Oryctolagus cuniculus: one gene and its partners. The protein of the gene in region 3 purifies or fractionates together with the protein of the main gene of each other region. This does not show direct contact. Links are inferred from orthologs where the notes say so. Each region holds a gene or a part of one and is shown on either strand. Other genes may lie near its edges.

Region 1 (4,712 bases), on a different chromosome or scaffold from region 3:
ATTTTGCATGCAGCTTAAGTATCTTTAAATGACATTTTAAGCAAATAAACCTTCTGCCTCATCATTAATGGTGTATAAGAACCCCCCTCCCTTTTTTTTAATAGTCATAGGGACCTCTTCCCTTGTTCCAAAGAGGATTCATGAAGACCAGGTACTTTCTTAAGAGTTTTCTGCACATCATACTAAATAACATGCAAAGAGTTCAACAGCATTCTTCTTAAAGTAAGTATTACTCTTAAAAATGGGCATGTTAACCACTGAAAAAAATGTTCACTCAACTATTTCCATTACACCGCTTCGTTTGGTCATTGGTAATAAAAAACAGAGTCAGATAATATAGGATCAACAGGTTAGTTTATCACTGGCTACTGCATAGGACCCCAAGTGTGCCAAGGTCAACATCTATGCAATATAGTTGTACTGGTTTGGATTTTCTTTATCTCTTTCCATGTAGTCCCGGTCAATTAAGGATTCTATTCTCTTCTTAAGATCAGCAGGCTGTTAAGAGAAGGCAAATTTTCAATGCAAAGTTTATGATCATTGGCTCAAACTCACTTACTAACATGCCCCATCAAAAAAAGAAAATTTTGGTTTATTGACTTAATATATGTAATCTTACCTGTTCATATTATTTAAATCTCTATTTTAGAGAAAAATATAATAAAAATCAGGTTAAGAAGTATTTTATACATATACTACAATGCTACACTTTTGCAACATTTTCTATTTTATTTTAAAGAAATCTTCCCAGAACCAGCTACTCCCTGCACAGTTAAATACAAAAGACTAAACATAACAGAATTTCACATGAGGAATACATTATAGCTTGAGAAATCAGAAATTTAGTTTTGCTGAGATAGTTTGAGAGGACAATCCACTTTTACTTTGGGCAAAAGCTAATTCTGCAAGTTAAGTTTAATTTTTATAAATTAACTTAAAATATGGGGGCCAGTGTTATGGTATGAGTTAAGCCACCATCAGCATCATATATGAGCACCAGTTTGAGGCAGCTGCAGCCATTTGGGGAGCGAATCAATGGATGGAAGATCTCTGAATCTCTCTGTAACTCTTTCAAATAAATAAAAATAAATCTTGACAGTTTGCCTTCATGACTGTATTCTTAGCTCTCAGATGACAAAATTCAACTATATGCTTGAGTGTATGTCTAGACTATAAAAAGTACAGGCATCCTTTGGTATCTGCAGGCATTGCTTCTAGGATCCTCCCTTGCCCTCATGCCAAAATCCAAGGATGCTCAAGCCCCTTATACAAAATGGTGTAATATATGCATATAACCCATGTACATCCTTCCATATACTTTAGAATCAACTCTAAATTACTTATTATATCTATTACAGTATAAATCCTAAGTAAATAACTGCTATTTTGCATTTTTTAGGGAATAATGACAAGAAATAAAGTCTGTACGTGTTCAGTACAGCCCCACTGCTTTCAAATATTTTTTTATTTATAGTTGGTTGAATATGCACATGTGAAATCCACAGATATGGAGGGGTCAACTGTATCATCTTGCCTACTAAATTTTTCATAATATGTAAAATGAAAGGGAAAGGAATCTGATAGGGCAGTCAAAACTTTAGTCATAATTTTTATCCAGTAATCTTAAAGTTCAATAAAATGATTTTCTCTTCATTATAATAAAAGACCTAGAATACCAGAACAGTCTTTTTAGGAAAGCAATCCCTTAACTTCCCTAGCATCAGTGATCTCTATGGCTAGAGGTGCAGTAATTGTTAGGCAGAGCATGAGGGTGACAGAGCTGTAATGAGGTGACAGTATCAGGCTTGGAAGAGAGAAAAAAAACCTCTTAATTAAAATAGCTACTGAGGGCTGATTATATGCTAGGTCCAGTTCTGAATTTTTCATATTCAGGATCTCATGAAAACCTCATAATTATATAAAGTAAGTACTACTATTAGCAACATTTTACAAAAGAGGAAACAAGCTCAGGTGAAGTGATATATCAAAGTCCAAAGTTTATAGAAATCCTAATAGCCAGGAGTCTATTAAAACTCTTATCAAGAGTTTATCAACACAAGGGTTTGGAAATATTCTGGAACTTACACAATATTCCAATACAATATCACCCTATATGTCTTCATTACTGGGCAGTTACCTTGGAATATGTCCATTAACCAACCAATTTCAGTTGACCAGAACTATCATTAAAATTTTCAAAACGATACCAGTCTGTACACAGTTCAGACACTTAATGTAACCTAACCAACAGATTTGACTCTATCTAAAATAATGACATCTGGCAAATATCAAGGTATTTCAAGGAGAAAAGAAATAAGAAAGAAGTTCAAATGAAAATAGTGAATGAAAAAAGTTTAAACAACTCATTTAGCAGTTAAACTTACAAGTTTGAGAGTTTTACTAAATTGTTGTCCCCTTTTTTCACAGTTGCCCCTATGCCAACAATTTTTTTCCTGAATCATATGCATCAGCATGGGAAATACTTTTGTTTCACCAAATGCTCTTGAGGCTTTCATCTATGCTTACAGGATTTGTGCCTGAAAATTTAATGTATCCTTTTATAAGAAGCTCAATATGAAAACACAGAATACCTACCTTTACTGGGAATTTCAATTGGTTGTACACTTCTGAAACAAGCAAATTGTGACTAAGTGTCTTTCTCATCTTCATAATTCGAACAATTGCAGCATCAATTTGATATTGTCTGTCTTGAAATACTCTTTCTGTAGTACTTGCTTGTTCCTCAACCTAACAAGAGGGTTTTAAATTTAAGAATTATACCTGAAGTGAAACATGATTACTTATACAAATTTGTACATTTTAGTGACATACCACTCACTGCTTTAAATATACTGAATTATCTAAATGGGACCTTACAGATGATGACAGAAAAAACCCTGCAAACATAGCTCCTTTCTAATTATATTGCCCTGTATCAATGAAGTAATGCCAACATTACTTAGCAGAAAATACTATCTTTGAACTACTTTTCTGGAAGTAAGGATGTTTGAGACAGAATTTACCATTTTCTTTGACTCTCTTCTAAATATGTCAGTTACAAGGGGTTGTTGACCAGATTTCTGTATAACAGTATCTCATCTATAAACTGACTGACTTCTGTCTCAAATCATGGTATTAAGTAGCTAAGTAAACTGGTTGGCATCAAGTTCTTTGACAATTAACTTTTATTTTGTAATATATAAACCAGAAATGCATGCCATTAATGCTTACATTCCTTTAAGACTAACAGAGATTTAAGTGTTTAGCAGTTTATCACACTTGATGCAAAATTAAAAATGACAACCTTTAGTAACTGAACCAAAAGTTTAGATTTTGTTGCAGCAGTTTCTTTCTAGTACAGCTTAATTTTTTTCATTTAAATTCAATCTAGGTCTCCCACATGGGTGGCAGGGACCTAACTCCCTGAGCCATCACCTGCTGCCTTCCACAGTGTGCATTAATAGGACACTGGAATCAGGAGCCAGGACCCAAACCCAGACACTCCCATATGGACTGTAGGTGTTCCAAGAAATGTTAACCACTGCACCAAATGCCAACTCCATAGCATAAATGTCTTAAAAAGTAAGGTTATGATAATCCTTTAAGGGAGTATCATTCCTCTGATGCCTATGTAAATGTAACAGGAACTTTTTTGAAGATACTTATCCTTGTCCCACATTAAAATTGTTTCTCAAATATTGCATTACACATTGTTGGAACTGAATAACTGGTTTCAGAATGCTACACTTGGTTTCCTTAATAAAAATCTCTTGCAAATTCAAATGCCAAAATAAAATATTCACCTCCACTGTCAATAAAACAAATACTAACTAAATCATTCAGATTTCTCACCAAGCAAATTGACAAATCTAAAGAAGAAAATTTAATCTTTAGTGTTGGGGAGGGCATAACAAGATAGACACTCATATGTTGCTGGTCCAAGTATAAATTGGTTTGGCCTTTCTGGAATACAATATGACCTTATGCACTAAGACTCTTAAAATATTCACACCCTTTGATCCAAAGAAATCGACTTCCATGGATTTATCATAAGGAAAGGATCAGAGAGATTAAGATTTAGGTACAAAGATGTTTCTTACAGCATTATTCATTCGTAATGCTAAAAAGTGATAAATTTAACTGCCAAATAATGAACAGTGGCCAGCCATGTCAAAGAGTATTTATTATAAAGCCAGTTGTGATTTCTTAAGGAATTTAATGGCACAGAAAAATTCTTAACAGGATATAAAACTGCTGAAAGCCTGAACCAATCATGTGCAGCCTCCAACAACAAAAAACCCAAAATTAAATACTGAAACATATTCAGCTAGATACAGGTACAGAAAATGTTAATGGTACTGCTAGTATTACTGGTATAAAATACTTTTTAGAGGTGGGCATTTATGCAGTAGTTTAAGTCAGTCACTACTTGGAACACCTGCACCCCATATAGGAGTGTCTGATTTGAGTATCGATTCATCCACTTTTGGATCCAGCCTCCTGCTATGTACCCTGAGAGGCAGCAGATGATGGCTCAAGTACTTGGGTACCTGCCAACCATATGGGAGATCCAGATTGGGTCCAGGCACTTGGCTTTGGCTTGGGATTGCCCTGGCTGTTGCAGGCATTTTAAGAGTGAACCAGCATTCCTCTGTCTCTCTACCTTTCAAATAAAATGAAAAAAAAAATTAAGTACAAGAAAAATTACATTT
Region 2 (5,982 bases), on a different chromosome or scaffold from region 3:
AGAGAGACAGAGAGAAAGGTCTTCCTTTCTGTTGGTTCACCCTCTCAATGGCTGCCGTGCTGCGGCCAGCACACCGCGCTGATCCAAAGGCAGGAGCCAGTTACTTATCCTGGTCTCCCATGGGGTGAAGGGCCCAAGCACTTGGGGCCATTCTCCACTGCCTTCCCTGGCCACAGCAGAGAGCTGGCCTGGAAGGGGGCAACCGGGACAGAATCCGGTGTGATGGCGCCACAGGCAGAGGATTAGCCTAGTGAGCCGTGGCGCCAGCTCAATATTTTGTGGAACATTTTTTTAAATTAATTTGCTTAAAAATTTTTAATTTTCAAGTTAAGTCTTACGATATTTTAATACAGTTTAATTCATAAAGAAGGGTCACATCATGCTGTCCTGTACATATGACTAAGAATGTGCCTTTCCCATCACCACATGACACCAGTAAAATGCATTTCACAGCGTTGTACAGCTGAGTCACCCTAGAGATGTCAATCCCCTTTGCAGGAATCAGCACAGTAAGAAGTACAACCTCAGCCAGCGCCGCAGCTCACTAGGCTAATCCTCCACCTTGCGGCGCCGGCACACCGGGTTCTAGTCCCAGTCGGGGTGCTGGATTCTGTCCCGGTTGCCCCTCTTCCAGGCCAGCTCTCTGCTGTAGCCAGGGAAGGCAGTGGAGGATGGCCCAAGTCCTTGGGCCCTGCACCCCATGGGAGACCAGGATAAATACCTGGCTCCTGCCATCGGATCAGCGCGGTGCACCGGCTGCATCGCGCCGACCAAGGCGGCCATTGGAGGGTGAACCAACGGCAAAGGAAGACCTTTCTCTCTGTCCCTCTCTCTCACTGTCCACTCTGCCTGTCAAAAAAAAAAAAAAAAAAAAAAAAAGAAAAAAGAAAGAAGTACAAGAAGTACTACCTCCCAAAACGATTAAGCTCCCTGCTTATGCTCTAGGGAAAGTAGTAGAAAATGGCCCAAGTCCTGGGCCACTGTACCAATGTGGGAGACCCAGAAGAAGCTCCTGGTTCCTGGGTTTGGACTTGCCCAGCTCTGGCTGTTGTGGCCGTTTGGGGAGTAAACCAGTGGGTAGACAATCTCTGTCTCTCCCTCCTTCTCTCTCTCTGTAACTCTGCTTTTCAAATACATTTAAAAATAAATAAATAAAATGTTTCAAGAAAAATCATATGTCCATCAACACAATCTATGAACAATTAATCCATAGGGATTTTAGAGAAAAAAGAAACACTTGGAAAATTTTTTTATAATTTGATAAGTTATTAATAATAATAATGAAAGCCAATTGTTGATTGAATATTACCAGCTGGGCAATTTACTCAGCCTTAAAAGTGACAGAGAAGGCTCCTAAAAAAGTTACACAGAATTAATTACTATACAGCCTAGCAATAGTACTGTTAGCTATATGTCCCCACGAAAACTGAAAACATGTCCATACAAAAAACTTATATACAAATGCTCACAGCACTTTTATTTATCAATTCAAAAAGTGGAAACAATTAAAATGTCCACCAACTGATGAACAGATACATAAAATGTGACCCATCTACACAATGGAATATTATTCAACCATAAAAAGGAATGAAGTACTGATAACTCTGTAACATGGGTAAAACTTGGTAACATTATGCTAAGCAAAAGAGGTCAGAGACAAAATGCCACATATTTTATGATTCCATTTATATGAAATGTCTGCAACAGGCAAGATCAGAGATAGAATGTAGGTTAGCAGTTGTTGAGGGCAAGAGAATGGAGAGTCACTGTTAAAGGGAACGAGGTTTTTTTCTTGTGTGATAAATGTTGGAATCAGAGTGGTGATTGCTGCACTTGATGATTATACTTGATTATACTAAAAACGTCTGAATTGTCTGTTTTAAAATGAGTAGGCTGGCGAATCTGATGTTACATGAATTCTATATCAATAAGAAAAAAGTGGGGGAAGAAAATTGTAGGTTGGCATGAAAAACCTATCTAGTAAGTTTTTATGAATTTTACTCATGGGCACTTTGATAGTTTAGGACTAACCTATGGTATAGCACTTCACGACTCCTTCAAAGATTAATTTCCTCTAATAAAAATCAGGTGGACTTTAAATCTTTTGTTTTCATTTGTTAAGTTTTCATTTACTGCCACTTTGTTATTATACATGATTTCATCTTTAAAGCCCGCCTTTCCTTAAGACGGAAGGAGACTATGAAGTCCCAGGAACTGACATCCATGTACTAGGAGGATGGAGAGGAAAAACTGTCCTTTTTTCACATATTCTACTTTTTATAGAACAAAAACCTCATGGCATAAGAAATCCCAAAGTTACAGCTATGAAGGTAGCTCTAGAGGTAAATGACTCTTAATGTACAGACCTCAAAAAAAAAAAAAAGACTTAAACATGTAGAAACGATCAGCACTTTTCCTCACAAAACCTCTTACTGTGCCCAGTTGGAAACCAAATCTAATCTTTATTTTTGCCATGAGATCATTTACACTTCCTAAAGTGTCAGGCTCAGTGTTTCGCCAGTCAGCGGTAGAATGACTGTGCCAAATCAGTTTATTTATAGCCACTTCAGTACTATTCATTGGCTACATTAGAAACAAACCAGGGAAAAGGGGGTGGGGTGTGGGACAATGGGTAGGAAATTAAAAAGCATATTAAATCTTTGTATTTTTAATATTGGGCCTTGGCACCTGAGAATGTAAATTTATTACATCTCCCCCTAGTGAAGTTGTAATAAGAATTAAAAGGCCATTCTTTCCTGTCCTAAGATACACGCCTTCCTTCTTTCACTTGTTTTCTTATGCCCATGGACTTGGTAGCACAGAAAAAATTCTAATGCTTAAAAGAATTTTAATTTCTTGAACATGCAGCAAAGTTGTAAGACAATCTAACAGCAAGGATCATCAGTTTGTATCAAATTGCTTATAATTTAAAACTCCTCTCCTCCCCCCTTTTAGCATGGAAAAGAAAAACTGAGCAACCTCACTAGGCAAATTCAATTTTAGGAGCAGTAAGCTTGCCAGGATCTCAAATATCAGGGCCTGTACACTGAGTTATGTGTGGACAGGCAGGAGAACATCATGTCTAACCACGTCATTCAGCTGTGACATGTGACCCAGCCTAGGAATTCAAACGGTCACTCATGTATATGGTGGCCACTGACTAAATGTTTGAATATGGGTTAGAAACAACAGCCAAATATCTTTTGTGAGTGTCTTCAAAGGGAAGAAGTATAGCTTCAACCCTCATTCCCTGAAACAAAATTTTAAAAAGGTTTTTATGCTAGAGAAATTTTAAGAATTGGGAAGAAAACTATACATATATGTATGTATTTATAATACACAACATATATATGAGGGTACTTTAAGAAGTTTGTGGAAAAATGGAATTAAAAGATAATGTGCATTTTCCATGAACATTCTGAACTACCCTTGTGTGTGCACAAAATATATATGTAATTATGCATATGTACAATTTTAAAAACTGATGTAACTTGATTTTATAGAATTACCAGTACATATGTATTTTCTACACAATCCCCTATTATGCTTTTTGGTATGTCTGAAATTCAAATTGTTTCAAAGAACAAGAAATTTCAAAAGATAAAGACTTGTAATAGGAATAAAATTCTCTAGTTAAGTTGGAAGCTAAAGTAAAGAATGGAATGTAGGTATGATAATGAGGGAAAGATAAAGGAAAAGCGAAAAATTAGCAAAATAAGAAGCATAAGACCAATTTGAAATTCAAAATTTAGTATAGAACTCAGAAGCATTAGTGCTAGTGACAAGCACTGTTAACAGGCAGGCCCAACATAAAAGCATCTAGGCTAGAACAATATCTCCACCTTGTGATCATTTAGGATATTGTCACTGAAAGAAAGCTTTTAATAAGGTCATGTTGCATTTTTGCAACTCTACGTATATAGAAACCACTTTCGTTTTTTTAAATATTTCCCCCAGGACATTTTCTCCCTAGGGCTTCAAACTGAAAGCTTTATATTTCTTAGTTCAGAGTTGTCACTTTAAGAGTTACAATTATTTTCCTGGTAACATGTAGAACAGAGAATATGGATTATCAATTTGGGATACACCTTGGCCATGAAAATGAAAGTATCATACAGTCTCTGAGAGAGTGACGTTTCAGCTATCAAGTAGCAATCCCTACATCTGATGTGGAAGAAGCTAATAGTACATATTTTACATTAAAAGTACCTTGTATCAGACAGCAGAAATGTTTCCAAGAACACTTCAGTTTTGCATTTGTAGGGGGAGTCTGGCAACTTACCTTCCAGATGTAGGCAGCTTCATCACTGGAGCCACTGAGTAGAAACTGGTCATCTGGACTGAGACTGGATTTTACATAAAAGGTAGAGTTTTGGTGTCCATTGAAAACAGCCACTGCAAGAGGATAAAAAAGTTATCTGGTTCTTTTATTCCTAGTGTTCAAACAAGTACATTATTTATAGTATATATATTCTAAAAAGTTTTATCACTATATTAACCATTGAAGCAGATGGTCAAATTTTACTCAACAAGGGAAATAAATGGATACTGGCAAAAATAATAGAAAGCAGCTTTATATTATACCCAGTGTTATAAACTCAACCTACATGCTTGATATGACTATACTAAGTGATGAAAAAATACTTAAAGAAAAAGAATGCACGCACTGTTCAATCTGTTTATAAAACAAAAATTAAACCCTTTCTTGCTACCCTAGGTAGGTATTTTCTATTGGACTGATATATTAAATTTGTTTCCCTTCAGATTTCAAGCTTCCTAAGTGTAAATTTCACATCTTGTTCTTTCCTCACTAGACCTATGGTGCTCTGAACACAGTAAATCCTCAAACGTTTGTTCCATTTGAGTAAGAGTTACAGTAGCTTTACTAAAATGGAGGGCTCTTATATCCAGCACTTAATGTAGACTGTATGATAGAATAGCTAGTTAAATAAATTATAAAACACAATGTTAGGTTAGCTTCAGGTTTAGACTTCCCACTCTCCATGGCAAAAGGGCAAGTAATAATAATCTATATAAAAATCTAGCACAATGCACTCCTGACAGGTTTTTCTATCCTAAGAAGTCAAAACCTGAGGCCTCTGCCTCAGGAAACATAAGAGAAAAATCTGTTATTGGAGAATTTAAGGATTTATTCAGGCAGGAAAAAAAAGTCACTCCAACTTTTAACAAGGAGAATGAATTGCTAAGGTTCTCTGCTTTCCATAAGTCCACAGACACCTTCCTTTTTCTAAAATAAAACTGAAAATTTTTGTATTTATAGCTTTCAAAGAAAATGCCTGCCTATTACATACTTTCCATATCAGACATTTTTACTATAAAAGTAAAGCAGCGTATGAATCAACAGACATACATAATATATATCTGCCATCATAAAAAATCCTCTGCAAAATAAGCAGTCTTCTTTATTTGGAACATTGTCCCAAAACTGCAATTGTTCATCTTCCTCAACACTAAACTATGAGTGGAACATTATAGACTGCATTTCTCACTAAACCTCTAAGTATTTATTGCCCTCTACTGGTCTAAGAAAGATTGGTATGAAGTACATCACACTTGGAAATGTTTCAAATCCTGGTAAAGAAATCCTCTTATGAACATCATTTACTGTAAAACGGTGAATAAGAAGTATCACATCCGGGACCTTTTCTGAAGTTTTGAAAAAGACAAGTAATTACTAGATGTTTTAGACATATAACCCCTCCACTCCATGCCCCGTCATTAAATTTCTAAAGAACAAATCTGTGTCTACCTATTCACCCACCTACTGCCAATCTGTGAGAGCAAATCAAATTGTTTTAGGAGCATAGAAAAGGTTACTAAAGTGTTAGGAATGTTTATTTCCATAGGGACAAACTAAACTCAAGGCCCCTTTAATGCCACACTGTAAGGAAAATTATATAGAAACCACTCTTGCACATCTGAAAACATGATCAAGATTAGACACTAGCTATGGGGAACAAT
Region 3 (6,692 bases):
TTTAGCCCAATGGCAGAAGTCACAGCTTGGGAAGCCTGCAACCCATAGCAGAGTGCCTGGTGTGAGCCCTGAGTCCCAGCTACTCCACTTCCAACACAGTTTTCTGTTCCTGCACATCCTGAGAGGCAGCAGATGATGGCTCAAGTACTTGAGTCCCTGCCACCTATGTGGGAGACCTGACTGGAATTTTGGGCTCCTGACTTCGGCTTCAGTCTGGACCAGCCCTGGCTATTGCAGGCGTTTGGAAAGTGAATCAGCAAATAGAAACATAAGGGTTAAGCAACCTACAAAGCCAGCATTCCATATGGATAACAGTAGAGCACCAGCTGCTCCAATTCCAATGCAGCTCCCTGCTAATGCACCTGGGAAAACAGTGGAGGATGGCACAAGTCCTTGAGCCCCTATATCCACGTGGGAGACCTGGATGGAGGTCCTGGCTTCATCCTGGCCCAGCTCAGGCTGTTGTGGCCATTTGGGGAGTGAACCAGCGAATGGAGATCTCTCGAACTCTCTCTAACTCTGCCTCTCAAAAATAAATCTTTTTTTTTTTTTTTTTTTACAGGCAGAGTGGACAGTGAGAGAGAGAGACAGAGAGAAAGGTCTTCCTTTTCCGTTGGTTCACCCTCCAATGGCCGCTGCGGCGGCACACCGCGCTGATCCGAAGCCAGGAGCCAGATGCTTCTGGTCTCCCATGCGGGTGCAGGGCCCAAGCACTTGGGCCATCCTCCACTGCCTTTCTGGGCCACAGCAGAGAGCTGGACAAGAAGAAGAGCAACCGGGACAGAATCTGGCGCCCCGACCGGGACTAGAACCCAGTGTGCCGGTGCTGCAGGCGGAGGATTAGCCTATTGAGCCACAGCGCCGGCCAAAAATAAATCTTTAAAAAAAAAACTCTCTGTCTCTGCTTTTCAAATAAGATGAATATAAGTATATTAATCAATTAAGGGAAAAAAAGAGGTAGTGGTAGACTCCATTTCCCCTCCTTGGGAATGTAGACTGTCTTGTGACTTACTTTGACCAGTACTGCAAAACTACCCAGATAAGCCTTAAGATTTTATGGCTTCTATTCACAGCCTCTTCAAACACTCTCAGAGCCATAAAAGAAAGCCCTAAATTACTGACTGAGAGAATACGTGCAGAGAGCAAGATCTAGCCAACAGCCAGATATGTATGGGGCCAACCCCAGCTGAGCTGCCGGTTATGTCTAAGTCCAGACAAGACCAGCCAAACAGCCCAGTCAACACACAGAATCCTGAGAAGTAGTAAGTTGATTAACACCACTAACTTTTTCATTTGTTACTTGAAAACAGATAACTGAAGCACCTTATAAAACAGGTTCTGCTGTTTAGCTCCAGTTCTGAACTGAGGGAGCAAATACTGAGCGGAAGTTTCAGAACTACACAAGTGCTCAGAAAGCTCTACGTCTTCTAATAACTGCTGCACTTATTTTTAGTCAACAAAATAAAAACTAAAGCAAGCACAGGGGGAATTATAAGCTGCTTTACTTTCATCCAAATTTATAAAAATTACACGCAAAAGGGAATTAGTCATGAAGATGTATTCAGCTTATTACAACCCTTGGAAAAGTCCATGTGTATTTTTACTGATTACTTAAAAGTGGTAACAACAATTCGATGGCACTTTCTCTGTGTCAGGTACTGTTCTAGGTGATAAAAGTATAATAAGTAGATATGAAGGTACTTCAAAAGGCTCATGAAAAATAGAATTAAAAATACGAGTTTATCTGAGTGCAAAAATTTTTTTGAAATCCATGCAGTCTTGGGGCCTGCACTGTAGCATAGCAAATAAACCCGCTGCCTATAGTGCTGGCATCCCATGTGGGTGCTGGTTTGAGTCCTGGCTGCTCCACTTCTGATCCAGATTCCTGCTAATGCGCCTGGGAAAGCAGTAGAAGATGGCTCAAGTGCTTGGGCACCTGCCCCCCTGGGTGATGAAGTTCCTGGCTCCTGGCTTCAGAAAGGCCCAGCCCTGGCCATTGCGGCCACTTAAGGAGTGAACCAGCAGATGGAATATCTCTCTCCCTCTGTCTCTCCCTTTCTCTTTGTAACTGATTTCCAAATAAACAATTAAAGGAAAAAAAAAAAAAAAGAAATCCATGCAGTCTTTTCACAATAAACAGTTTCCACATACTAAAAAGTTCTTCTCTCAGGAACTTCTGCACCAAAATAAATCCATAATTTCATTTTCCCACAAATTCCATGTTCCCTCATATATGAGTATATGCACATATTCATTTTTGTCCTCAGGCAAACTCAAACAAGAATAAGTCCTTTTATTAGCCCCATTTCCCTCAGCGAGAAATGCAGCAAAGTAGGTAAAGCTGCGATATACAGCTGTCCTGCTCACCCACATAAGTTGATTACATTTACCACCAGAAAAAAAGGCAGCACAGCCTACAGTTAAAAAAAAAAAAAAAAAGTAGCAATGTCAATGCCTAGGTCAAAGCAGGTGATCTCAGCTGTCAGGATGTAAATATTTGGTTCGACTTGAGAAGCCTACTTTATATAAACAGAAAGCATGTTCCTTACAAACGAGCAGTGCTGTCAAATCTGCAAAGGCAGCGGAGGCGACAGGCGCCTACCTATCCCTAACACTGCTGAGCAATCGCCTGCGGGACAAGCACGGGTCACACATTCTAACAGGCGGTGAACCTATGTAGTCTACAAACACTTCGACGAAATGCCTACACAATCCAGATTCCTGCAAAGATCAATACTTAGGATGCTAAGCCACGATGGCAGAACACTCCGCCTTCCTCAGGCTGCTGGCGAGGAGAGCACCCAACACACATGGACCCAGCAAAGATGGTCTGAGTGGCTCCGGACCACAGGGCAGCGGCCATGCCTCCTCCGTCCCCGTGAACCCCGAGAGCCCATCTGCCCCGGAAAACTCCGCATCGAGACGCCAGCATAGAAATTTCCCTCATTCTAAAAGAGGGAAAGAGATCCAGAGCCAGCCCGGGGGGTGAGCGGCCAGGCCGCTACGGGAAAGAGCACCAGGGAAGCGTGCGGAGGCCCGGGGAGCAGTCGTCCCGCTGACCGCGCTTCCCGAATGCAGAGGGACCAGGAAGGACGCCACGGAGGACTGGACACGCTGACAGTCACCCCGCGCCCCTGGCCTCCTGAGCCTCTGCACAAGGTCCGGTCCCCGCAACACTCACCGCCCCAGCCGCTCTCAGGCCCGCCCCCTCGGTCGTCAGGCCTCGAACACGAGGGTGGCGGTCAGCCCAAGGAGAACTATGGCTTCCTTCCCCACTCTCTTCCCCACTCTCTTGCTCTCGGGAAACACTCACTTGCCCGCCAGATCTTTATGAGAGCCGCTCGAATTCATGAGCTGGGCCAAATCCTGTCGCACGGCTGCCGCCATCTTTCTTCCACCTCAGCCTTGGCTGAGGGGGCCCCTCACAGCCTCAAAGAAAACGAGTATGGTCCTCCGGAGTGGGGCCAGAGAGAACCAAGGATACCACAGAGTAGCCCCTACGCGGGCCAGAGCGTCAGTGGGTGGGGCGGGACCTGAGCTACCTCCGCCCTCCGGGTTGAATGACACGGCGCTTCACTCCTCACGTCCCAGGCCCGCCCTGGCCTCTCCCACAGGCGCTGGCTCTCACGCTCCGACTTGGGATTGGCTGATGAACTTGAAGGGAGTGTGTCGCTTGTGCAGCTCCAGTAAGGGCTCGGTACGTACAACTACTGCGTTTGCGCTAAGGTCCGTGTTTCACGTTTATGGTTTATTCTTCGTTCGTTAAGGCAGCGCTGAAACTACGTGTGGTAAAGGGCGAGTTTTTTGTTTATTTCCAATTCACCACAGACCAGTGCTTTTTAAAAATAAGATAAAAAATGTCCGCGTCCCACCCACCCCCACACACACACCAGGTATCTTTTTTAATGTTTGATCATACATCCCATGTGTCCAGGACAGTACCATTTTTAGTCTGGTGTCCTGAGGTATTTATTAACACCTCTTTTCATTCTAGAAACGACTCCATCTGAGTGACAAAGTATATGTTCACTCGCCCTTTATAGGTGATTGCATTCATCACTCATGTATCTTATATATGTGTGTATATATATTCTATATATATGTATTATATAAAACATGTATTATTATATATAATGTGTATTTTATATATATATATATATATATTCTATAAATCCCTAGAGAATTTCTGAAAGAAGTAGAAATCTGTGTATCTCCTTCCTTTTACAATGAGAAGCACATTGTTTCATTGTTCTGCTCTTGAATTTTTCACTTTTCCTGGCGATCTTACCATTTAAGTCCAGTCTTTTTTTTATTATTTTTGGACAGGCAGAGTGGACAGTGAGAGAGAGAGACAGAGAGAAAGGTCTTCCTTTGCCATTGGTTCATCCCCCCAATGGCCACTGTAGCTGGCGCGCTGCGGGCGCACCGCGCTGATCTGAAGCCAGGAGCCAGGTGCTTCTCCTGGTCTCCCATGCAAGTGCAGGGCCCAAGGACTTGGGCCATCCTCCACTGCACTCCCGGGCCACAACAGAGAGCTGGACTAGAAGTGGAGCAACCGGGACAGAATCTGGCGCCCCGACCAAGACTAGAACCTAGTGTGCCGGCGCCGCAGGCAGAGAATTAGCCTATTGAGCCATGGCGCTGGCCTAAGTCCCATCTTAAAAGTCATTCGTTTTAGAGGTGGAGAGTACTACCTAGTGAAGGTATGCCAAAATTTACTTAATCCTTATAGGACATTTAAGTCTAGGGAGTGAGACATTATAATTGTAGTTATTGTTATTGTTTTTAAGAAAGGGAGAGACACAGGGTAAACTCCCGTTTCCAGCCAAAGCCAGGAGCCAGGAACACAGTCCAGACTTTCCTGTATGGATGACAGGAACCCAACCACTTGAGACATCACTGCTGCCTCCCAGAGTCTGCATTGCCAGGAGCAGAGCATGGATGGAGCCCAGGCACTCCAGGATGGGATCTGAGCATCCTAACTGCCAGAACAAACAGCCACTCCTGCAATGAATAACTTTTCCTGTACATCATTTTATATAGAATTATGTACCAGCAAAACACATTCCCAGAAATGACTCAAAGGAGACATACTTAAAATTGTGATATATATTGTAAAGTTTCACTTGATAGGGATGCTATCATTTTGCCCTCCTACCAGAAGTATCTAAGAGTGCAATGTCTTACAGTCTTGCCTACAAAATTCAAACCTTTGAACTTTTTGCCATCTCGAGATGTGATAATTGGCATATTTCCTCTATTGCAAAGGAGAAAAAAAAAGTCCAGAATAAATTCCTTTTAAGAAAGTAAAGTGGAAATTGCCCACATCAATTCAGATCCCATTCCACTGGCAAGAATGCCTAATAATAGTGATTCTGGAAACTTAATTTCCCCTTGTGTTGCCTTGTGCTCACAAAGAAAAGGAAAGGGTGAACATAGTGGTACAAACAGTAGTTACTGCTATGATCTGTTCTGTTCACCTAAAAATCTTTGTGTCCTTCACAGGACAACATACTCCCTCCCTAAGGAAAGAGTTCAACTTCTCATTCAGTTGTGTCTAAGGACAATCTGGTTTAAACTAGATTTATTTGGCTTTATTTTCTTTCTCTTTTTAATTTTTTAAAAATTTATTTGACAGAGTTATAGACAGAGAAAGAGACAGAAAGGTCTTCCTTCCACTGGTTCACTCCCCAAATGGCCGCTACAGCCGGTGGCACTGCGCCAATCCGAAGCCAGGAGCCAGGTGCTTCTCCCAGGTCTCCCATGCGGGTGCAGGGCCCAAGCACTTGGGCCATCCTCCACTGCCCTCCCAGGCCACAGCAGAGAGCTGGACTGGAAGAGGAGCAACTGGGACAGAATCCGGTGCCCATATGGGATGCCGGCGCTGTAGGCAGAGGATTAACCAAGTGAGCCATGCATCGGCCCCTGGCTTTATTTTCAATTCCAGAATCAGGTAATACTGCACACCACAAAACAGAATATAGGGCCCAGCACAGTGGCAAAGAAGGTTAAGCCTCTACATGCAGTGCTGGCATCCCATATGGGTGCCGGTTCTAATCCTGGCTGCTCCTCTTCCAATCCAGCTCTCTGCTACAGCCTGAGAAAGCAGTAGAAGATGGCCCAAGTCCTTGGGCCTCTGCACCCAGGTGGGAGACCCAGAGGAAGCTTCTGCCAGGCCCAGCCCTGGCTGGTGTGGCCATTTGGGGAGTGAGCCAGCAGATGGAAGAGCTCACTTCCTCTCTCATTCTCTCTCCCTCTCTGCTTCTCTCTCCATATTTCTGCCTTTCAAATAAATAAAGATTTTTTAAAAACAGAATACATGTTCCAATTAACTGAGGAGAAGAGAGGTTTTTAAAGTCATAAAACAGGGCTGAAGAAAGCAAAAGCAAGAAAACAAAAGTCATTTCCAAGTTACTTTCTTTGTAAAGTGGTCAGAGAGATGGAAAAATAGAAAAAAAATAAATGATTGGTTAACATCAGGTTGCTTTAGGTTACCCTTTTGCTGAAGGGTTAAGGCAGAGGGAACTTCATTATGTTAACTGCAATTGACCTCTTTGGGAAATTCAGTTGTTATCAAATTCTGATTTCTCAGAAGTCAAATACACTGCTTAGTTTCAGTTTAGTGACATAGAACTTTGGCATGAGTGACTCCGTTATTTTAGCCTGATCAGTTGGGGCCTGGTTGCAGGAGC
Region 4 (5,982 bases), on a different chromosome or scaffold from region 3:
AACTCGTTAAGCTGCAAAGACAAGAGTATCAGCATGAGCAGGGTGAAGGAATCAGGAGGCACAGGGCGGGGCACAGAGGACTAACTCCGGGTCACTGGGGTCAGTAATGAGGTAGATCGAATGCTTGCTTCCTCCCATCAGTATTGGAGGGCCCGAGTCTCACCGAAACGATCCCAGAAGATTCTGGGTCATAGAGCTGACACATCATCTTCCCTGAGCCTCCGTCAAACATGTCAATCGTCCTTAGTTCGTAGGGAGCGCAACTTTTGAAATTAGGATCTGGGTACCGACCCACGACAATGAGGTTGTACCGAGGGTGCCAGCTTGCCTGTAAGACGGAGAGGCTAGTCAGGGGAATAAACACAGAACGCCCTCGAGGGACATCAAAACCATTCTTTGCTGCTAACAAGCCAACACCGCAACAGAGGCGCTGCGACCCACGTGCAACTGCAGACTTCTAATCCCCCGCTGGCCTCCCTGGCCCCTGGACACCTTGAGGCCTTCTCTCCTGCACTTCCTGCCGCTTTCAACATCAACCTGGCCTAGGCGTTAACAGGTAGGCCTACAACAAAGTGAACGGCCTGTGGTAATCAGAACTACTTAGGACAGAAATCTGAAGTAACCCCACTGCCACCCCTCCGTCAGCGTGGATAATCAGGAGCTGTGTGTAAAATCACTCAAGACTGAAAAAGGAAAGGAACTCCAGTAGCCCAGCCTACCCCACTCATCCAGAAATCACAAATTGGATGGGATTTTCCTGATACAATTTCTCAAGGAAGTTTTGAAGGAGCAAAGATGTGGTTAGCAGGAAGGAAGAAATGGTACCACTAATCACAGACGGCGGGTTGGCCTGGCTGGATACGAGGCGGCAGATCAGGACAGATGGATTAACAAGAACACCAGCTGAGGAAGGATTCTTGGGATTCCTTAGTAGGTGCTTGGATATGATTTGAGGTACGTGCGGTACTAAGCGGTCATCATTTTCTGAGTACTCACCCGGTGCTAGGCATGGTGCCAAGTGCTTTAAGTACACTGATTCATCCTCACAACAACCCTATCAGTTAGATACTATTATTCCCTTTTTACAGATGAGGAAACGGAGATCCAAAATGGGAAAGGAAGGGACTTATTTCTATTATTAGAAGCCACCTAAACCTGCAAGACAAACTAAGAAGGTGAAGGTTAGTTTGTGGACCCACACACACGGGTAACTGAAACCGAGAGGGCAGGGCAGAAGCTCAGCATTCTGCACATGCTCACAGGTCAGGGCTGGGCTGAAACTCCTGAGGGAGACAGCTTCTCAGAGAGACAAAGACGGCCCCACCAACTGGACTTGCAAACGTGGCATAAAAGGAACAGAGAGCGCCGAAAGGCTGAGAGACTGTCTGCTGGGGCAAGAAGAGGTCTGGAGCTGCAGGCTCACACGCCTGCCCCCTCCCCACCTTGGGCAGACCTGGTCCGTCCCCACGCTCTCCACTCCCTCTGCGCGTTCTCGTCACTCTGTCACTCACCTTGATGGGAGTGAGGTGCTGGAAGTGCCGGTGAGGATGCAGGATGAGGCCCACGGGGCAGTCCCACTGGGAGGCAGAGTAAATCCGGAGCTCATTCTTCTGATCCGTGGTCAGGAGCCGGGCTCCGTCAGGACTGAAGCAGGCTGGGGAAGTGACAAGCACCTAAGCTGCAGAAACCGGAAGCCCCGCCCCCGTCGGGCCGCTTCTCGCGGGGGCGCCCTCCCTCTGACACCTCTGAGATGGGGGGAAAGGGCAGAGGTGAACCAGGGCTGTGAGCAGAAGAATTCTAGAAACTCAGTAGCCCACAGGAGATCTGAGACACTGGGGAGAAAGGGTCGGCCTAGCAGCTTCCAAACTTCCCAGGAGGCCCCGGAGTGTTGAGACAGGTGGGGTTCACACCTGAGTTGACAGGATGCTTGTGTGGCAGCGAGCAGAGGAAGCTGGCTTTCCCTCTAACCTGGCGCAGGTCCCAGATTTTCACTGTTTGGTCTACGGAGGCTGTGGCCAGTAACCAATCGCAGCTCGGGTTCAGAGCCACATGGGTCACTTTCTTTTTGTGCATTCGGAGATTCCAGAGCTGCAGAGGAGAGCCCGGCTCAGCTGGGGACAGAGAACTGAGGTGGGGGGAGGGGAGGGAAGGCGCGCCCAGGGCTCAGAGCACGCACCTCTTTACCGTCCATGTTCAGCAGGAACACATGCCCCATGTTGTCTCCTGTGACCACCACTCGGCTTCTGGCAGACACGTCCAGGCTGCAAAACCACACGCTGGAAGGAGAGACTGTACTGTGAGATTCCTGGGGCCAGAGACAGGTCCTTTAACTCACTGCTGCAGCTCCTGGGCCTAACCCGCGGCAGGCGCTCAATAAATATTTGTTGAATGAATGAAGTATCTGTCTTACCATGGATTCCCAGGAAGAACACTCAGTCTTGTCTACCAGCCAAACAGAGGGAATGAGGGTGAGGGGGGCTCCAAAATGTGTCCAGTCTCTGCCGGGCCTAGCGTCCTGAGCCAGGGAGAGTCCCAGACGCAGTGAGACCTCGGGCCCTAAGGCAAGCCTCCTGGCTAGCTGGGCCCCACAGCTGCTAGAACCTCGGTCTCCTTTCTCTGCCTTCCCTCTCCACCTTGGGGCTAAAGGAGAAGACACGCCAAGCAGAAACTGCCCCGCTGTGCTACTCAGAGCTGGCCGGAAAGAAATGTCTGCCCCCTTCTGAGCAGTTAGGGTAAAGCACACACGACCTGCAGCCCAGATGCACATCTGTTCCCCTAAACCCTCAGAGCCACGCTAGTCTGCCTTTTGGTCGTTCCCCTTCAGGATCTTTAAGCGAGAGGGTTTCTTGTGGAAGACCAACATGGAGCTGAGTCTAGCCAGTCACCTGTCCCTGTGGGGCAGCCCAGGAAACCCAGTGCTAGCTGTCAGACCCCGCCCCTCACCTAACTCCTTAGGGAGCAGGTAGACTTGGGTCTCTGGCTAGAACGCGGAGGGACCTGCATTTTTAATTCCTCCAGCCCCTTGCTCTTGGGGAGCCCGGAGCACTTTTTGGACACTACTGGATCCACTGAAGCTTCCACCAAGGAACTGGTGAGTTCCTCACCCGCCAACGAACAGAAGGAATTGCGTCTGAAGTCCTAAGTGCCTGCTCCACCCTGGGCCACCACCACGTTGACTTGTCTCGTGAGAGCCAAGGTCGAGCCTAACACAGGTGTGACTTAGAGAAAAGCCGAGAAGAGCCGAGGCTCCAGAACACCTTCCCAAAGCAGGAGCCCACCTGGACGGCAGTCAGAGTAGCCAGAGTTTGAAAAAGGGAGGGAAGGGTGGAAAGTGGCGAACGCCTTCTCGTTCCTCCTGGCCAGGTGCAGGTAACAGAAGCGGGGTCAGGATGCTCTCGCCAGGACTACACCTGGAGCTGGAAGCCCTTGCCATGCTAGTTCGGCTACTCACTTGCAGGTGTCTGAGCTGGTAAAAACTCGGAGGGTGTTGCCTGTAAAGTCTTGCAGCCTAGTTGTTCCCTCCATTGAGGAGGCGAAAAACTGGTTGGTATTGAGAAGGTTAAACTTCAGCCCAGTGATGCTCCCTCCAGCTCCAATCTAACACGAGGAAGGAAAAAGCCAGTGAGTGATGAGGGGCCGGAAGCGAGGAACCAGGCCTGGGCACGTGGACTGTGCTTTGACACAAACGCCAGTCGGTCCCGACACCCAGACCCCAAGGTGCTGTCTCCACAGTGTGCTTTTTAAAATTCACACACAATAAATACTACTTTTGGTATACAGATCTATGAATTTTAACCCATGTACAGATTTGAATAACCAACACCAAAATCAGGATGTAGAACACACTATCACCCCCAAAACTCCCTAGTGCTCTGCTTTCCCACTGTAGTCACACTCTCCCCCTCACCCCAAAACCTCTGGCACCCACTGATCTGTTCCCCAACACTAGAGCTGCCTGCACAGAATATCACAGACAAGTCCCAGGGTCGGTGTTGTGGCATAGCACGGTGAGCCTCCGCCTGCAACACTGGCATCCCATCTGGACGCCGGTTCGAGACCCGGCTGCTCTATTTCTGATCCAGCTCCCTGCTAATGCGCCCAGGGAAGCGGCAGAGGATGGCCCAAGTGCCTGGGCCCCTGCACCCATGTGGACACCTGGGAGAAGCTACTGGCTCCTGGCTTCCACCTGGCCCAGCCCTGGCCATCGTGGCCATTTGGGGAGGGAGCCAGCAAATGGAAGGATCTGTCTCCCCTCTCTCTGTAACTCTGCCTTTCAAATAAATAAAAAATAAAATCTGAAGAAAAGAAAGAAAGAAAGAAAGAAATGCGTGCATAGTGTGCGGCCTCGGAGCCCCTGCCACTGGTTGCTGAGGCAGCGCAGTGCGGCACGGCTGTGCCAGGGTGCCGCTCCCACGCGCTCTTTCTGGAAGAGCTTCAGCTCGCACTGGCGGCAGGATAAGGAGGGCAAGAGTCAGATCCGTCCCCCTTCCTGCTTTTGCAGACAAGGAAGACGAAAACAACCACACTACCAATGGCTGGGCCACAGTAAGTACTTATTATATCCCACACACTGTTTTGTTAAACACTTCACTCTCTCAGAGCTCCTTCACTCCTCTTTATGCTACCCTGGCCTCATAGACCTGGGCAAGGTCTCCTATCCAACAACCACGTCAACAGGTTCCATCCCTCTAACACCATCGGCATCAGTGCTCACAGCCTACCAAGACTTGCTGCTTGTAAGACAATCTGTTCTCGCCGCTGGATCAGCCTCCACTACTCCATGCCGGTCCACCACCACCTTCCCTCTACCTGTCACCCAGTCTGGGAGCCCTGAATCTTTGCTGAGCTGCCACCTGCCACCACCCGCACTGATGTCCGTCTCGGCTGCCACCAGACCACCGAGGCCTCCCCACTATGTAAATACTGGTCCTGCTTGAGTCTACCATTTAATGACTTCTGGTTTCGACTGTTCAGGAAGGAAAGGGAGGAGGAAGAAGATGAAAAAGAGGAAGAGATACCACTCTTTTTTTTTTTAACGAGTTTTTTTTTTTTTTTTAAGATTTATTTTATTTATTTGAAAGAGTTACAGAGAGAGGTAGAGACAGAGAGAGAGGTCTTCCATCCGCTGGTTCACTCCCCAGATGGCCACAACAGCTGGAGCTGCGCTGATCCGAAGCCAGGAACCAGGAGCCTTCTCTGGGTCTCCCACGTGGGTACAGGGGCCCAAGGACTTGGGCCATCTTGTACTGCATTCCCAGGCCATAGCAAAGAGCTGGATTGGAAGAGGAGCAGCTGGAACTTGAACCAGCACCCATATGGGATGCCGGCACTGCAGGCGGCGGCTTTAACACGCTGTGCCACATCGCTGGCCCCGAGATACCACTCTTAAACTCTCCACAGACTAGAAAACAGGGCATAATTCCCAAGTGTATGATGTCAGTATAACCTTGTTACCCAGATCTGACAAGGACATATCAAAGTACTGGCCACTCTTACATATGAAGAGAATACAGATGTCCTATATAAAATATCAGCAAATTCAATCCAGTGACATTTAAAAAGGATAAACACACTATGACCAAGTGGGTTCATTCCAATAATGCCAGGTTTGGTTAAATAGGAAAAATCAATCAGGCATCAATGGAAAAGATCCAGAATGGAAGGGGGGAAACTAAAAAAGGCTCGAGAATTGTATATTTGATTCAGAGGTAATATTCTGAACATATAAAAGATCTCCTAAAGCTCACAAATAAAATGATCCTCAGCCCAGAGGGTAACATGACAGCCGAGATGCCTGCATTTCCACTCTGCAGTGCCTGGCTTTAATTCCAGGCTCCCAGCTCCTGATTCCGGCTTCCTAATATGGACACTGGGAGACAGTGGTGATGGCTCAAATAACTGGGCTCCTGCCACCACATGGGAGACCTGGATTGTGTCCCTGGCTCCCAACCTGGCCTGCTCAAGCCCCAGCTCATGTCGACG

The links.
Region 1: the proteins of COPS4 (region 3) and CUL4B purify together in Homo sapiens (affinity purification with mass spectrometry; 9 studies listed by BioGRID and IntAct, with this or other methods). This does not show direct contact. The link is inferred for Oryctolagus cuniculus from reciprocal best matches to the Homo sapiens genes COPS4 and CUL4B.
Region 2: the proteins of COPS4 (region 3) and DTL purify together in Homo sapiens (affinity purification with mass spectrometry; 3 studies listed by BioGRID). This does not show direct contact. The link is inferred for Oryctolagus cuniculus from reciprocal best matches to the Homo sapiens genes COPS4 and DTL.
Region 4: the proteins of COPS4 (region 3) and DDB2 purify together in Homo sapiens (affinity purification with mass spectrometry; 7 studies listed by BioGRID and IntAct, counting the BioPlex papers as one, with this or other methods). This does not show direct contact. The link is inferred for Oryctolagus cuniculus from reciprocal best matches to the Homo sapiens genes COPS4 and DDB2.

Annotation. Positions count from the first base shown.
Region 1 is NC_091453.1:98,256,094-98,260,805, forward strand, and holds part of CUL4B (cullin-4B), read right to left. Parts: intron 2,749-4,712; coding exon 2,596-2,748; intron 499-2,595; coding exon 403-498; 3' UTR 1-402.
Region 2 is NC_091444.1:26,583,045-26,589,026, reverse strand, and holds part of DTL (denticleless protein homolog), read right to left. Parts: intron 4,396-5,982; coding exon 4,283-4,395; intron 1-4,282. UniProt on the Homo sapiens protein: Substrate-specific adapter of a DCX (DDB1-CUL4-X-box) E3 ubiquitin-protein ligase complex required for cell cycle control, DNA damage response and translesion DNA synthesis.
Region 3 is NC_091439.1:82,814,644-82,821,335, forward strand, and holds the start of COPS4 (COP9 signalosome complex subunit 4), read right to left. Parts: upstream 3,625-6,692; 5' UTR 3,388-3,624; coding exon 3,314-3,387; intron 1-3,313. UniProt on the Homo sapiens protein: Component of the COP9 signalosome complex (CSN), a complex involved in various cellular and developmental processes.
Region 4 is NC_091432.1:18,715,242-18,721,223, forward strand, and holds part of DDB2 (DNA damage-binding protein 2), read right to left. Parts: intron 3,598-5,982; coding exon 3,452-3,597; intron 2,277-3,451; coding exon 2,177-2,276; intron 2,089-2,176; coding exon 1,911-2,088; intron 1,655-1,910; coding exon 1,512-1,654; intron 329-1,511; coding exon 164-328; intron 12-163; coding exon 1-11.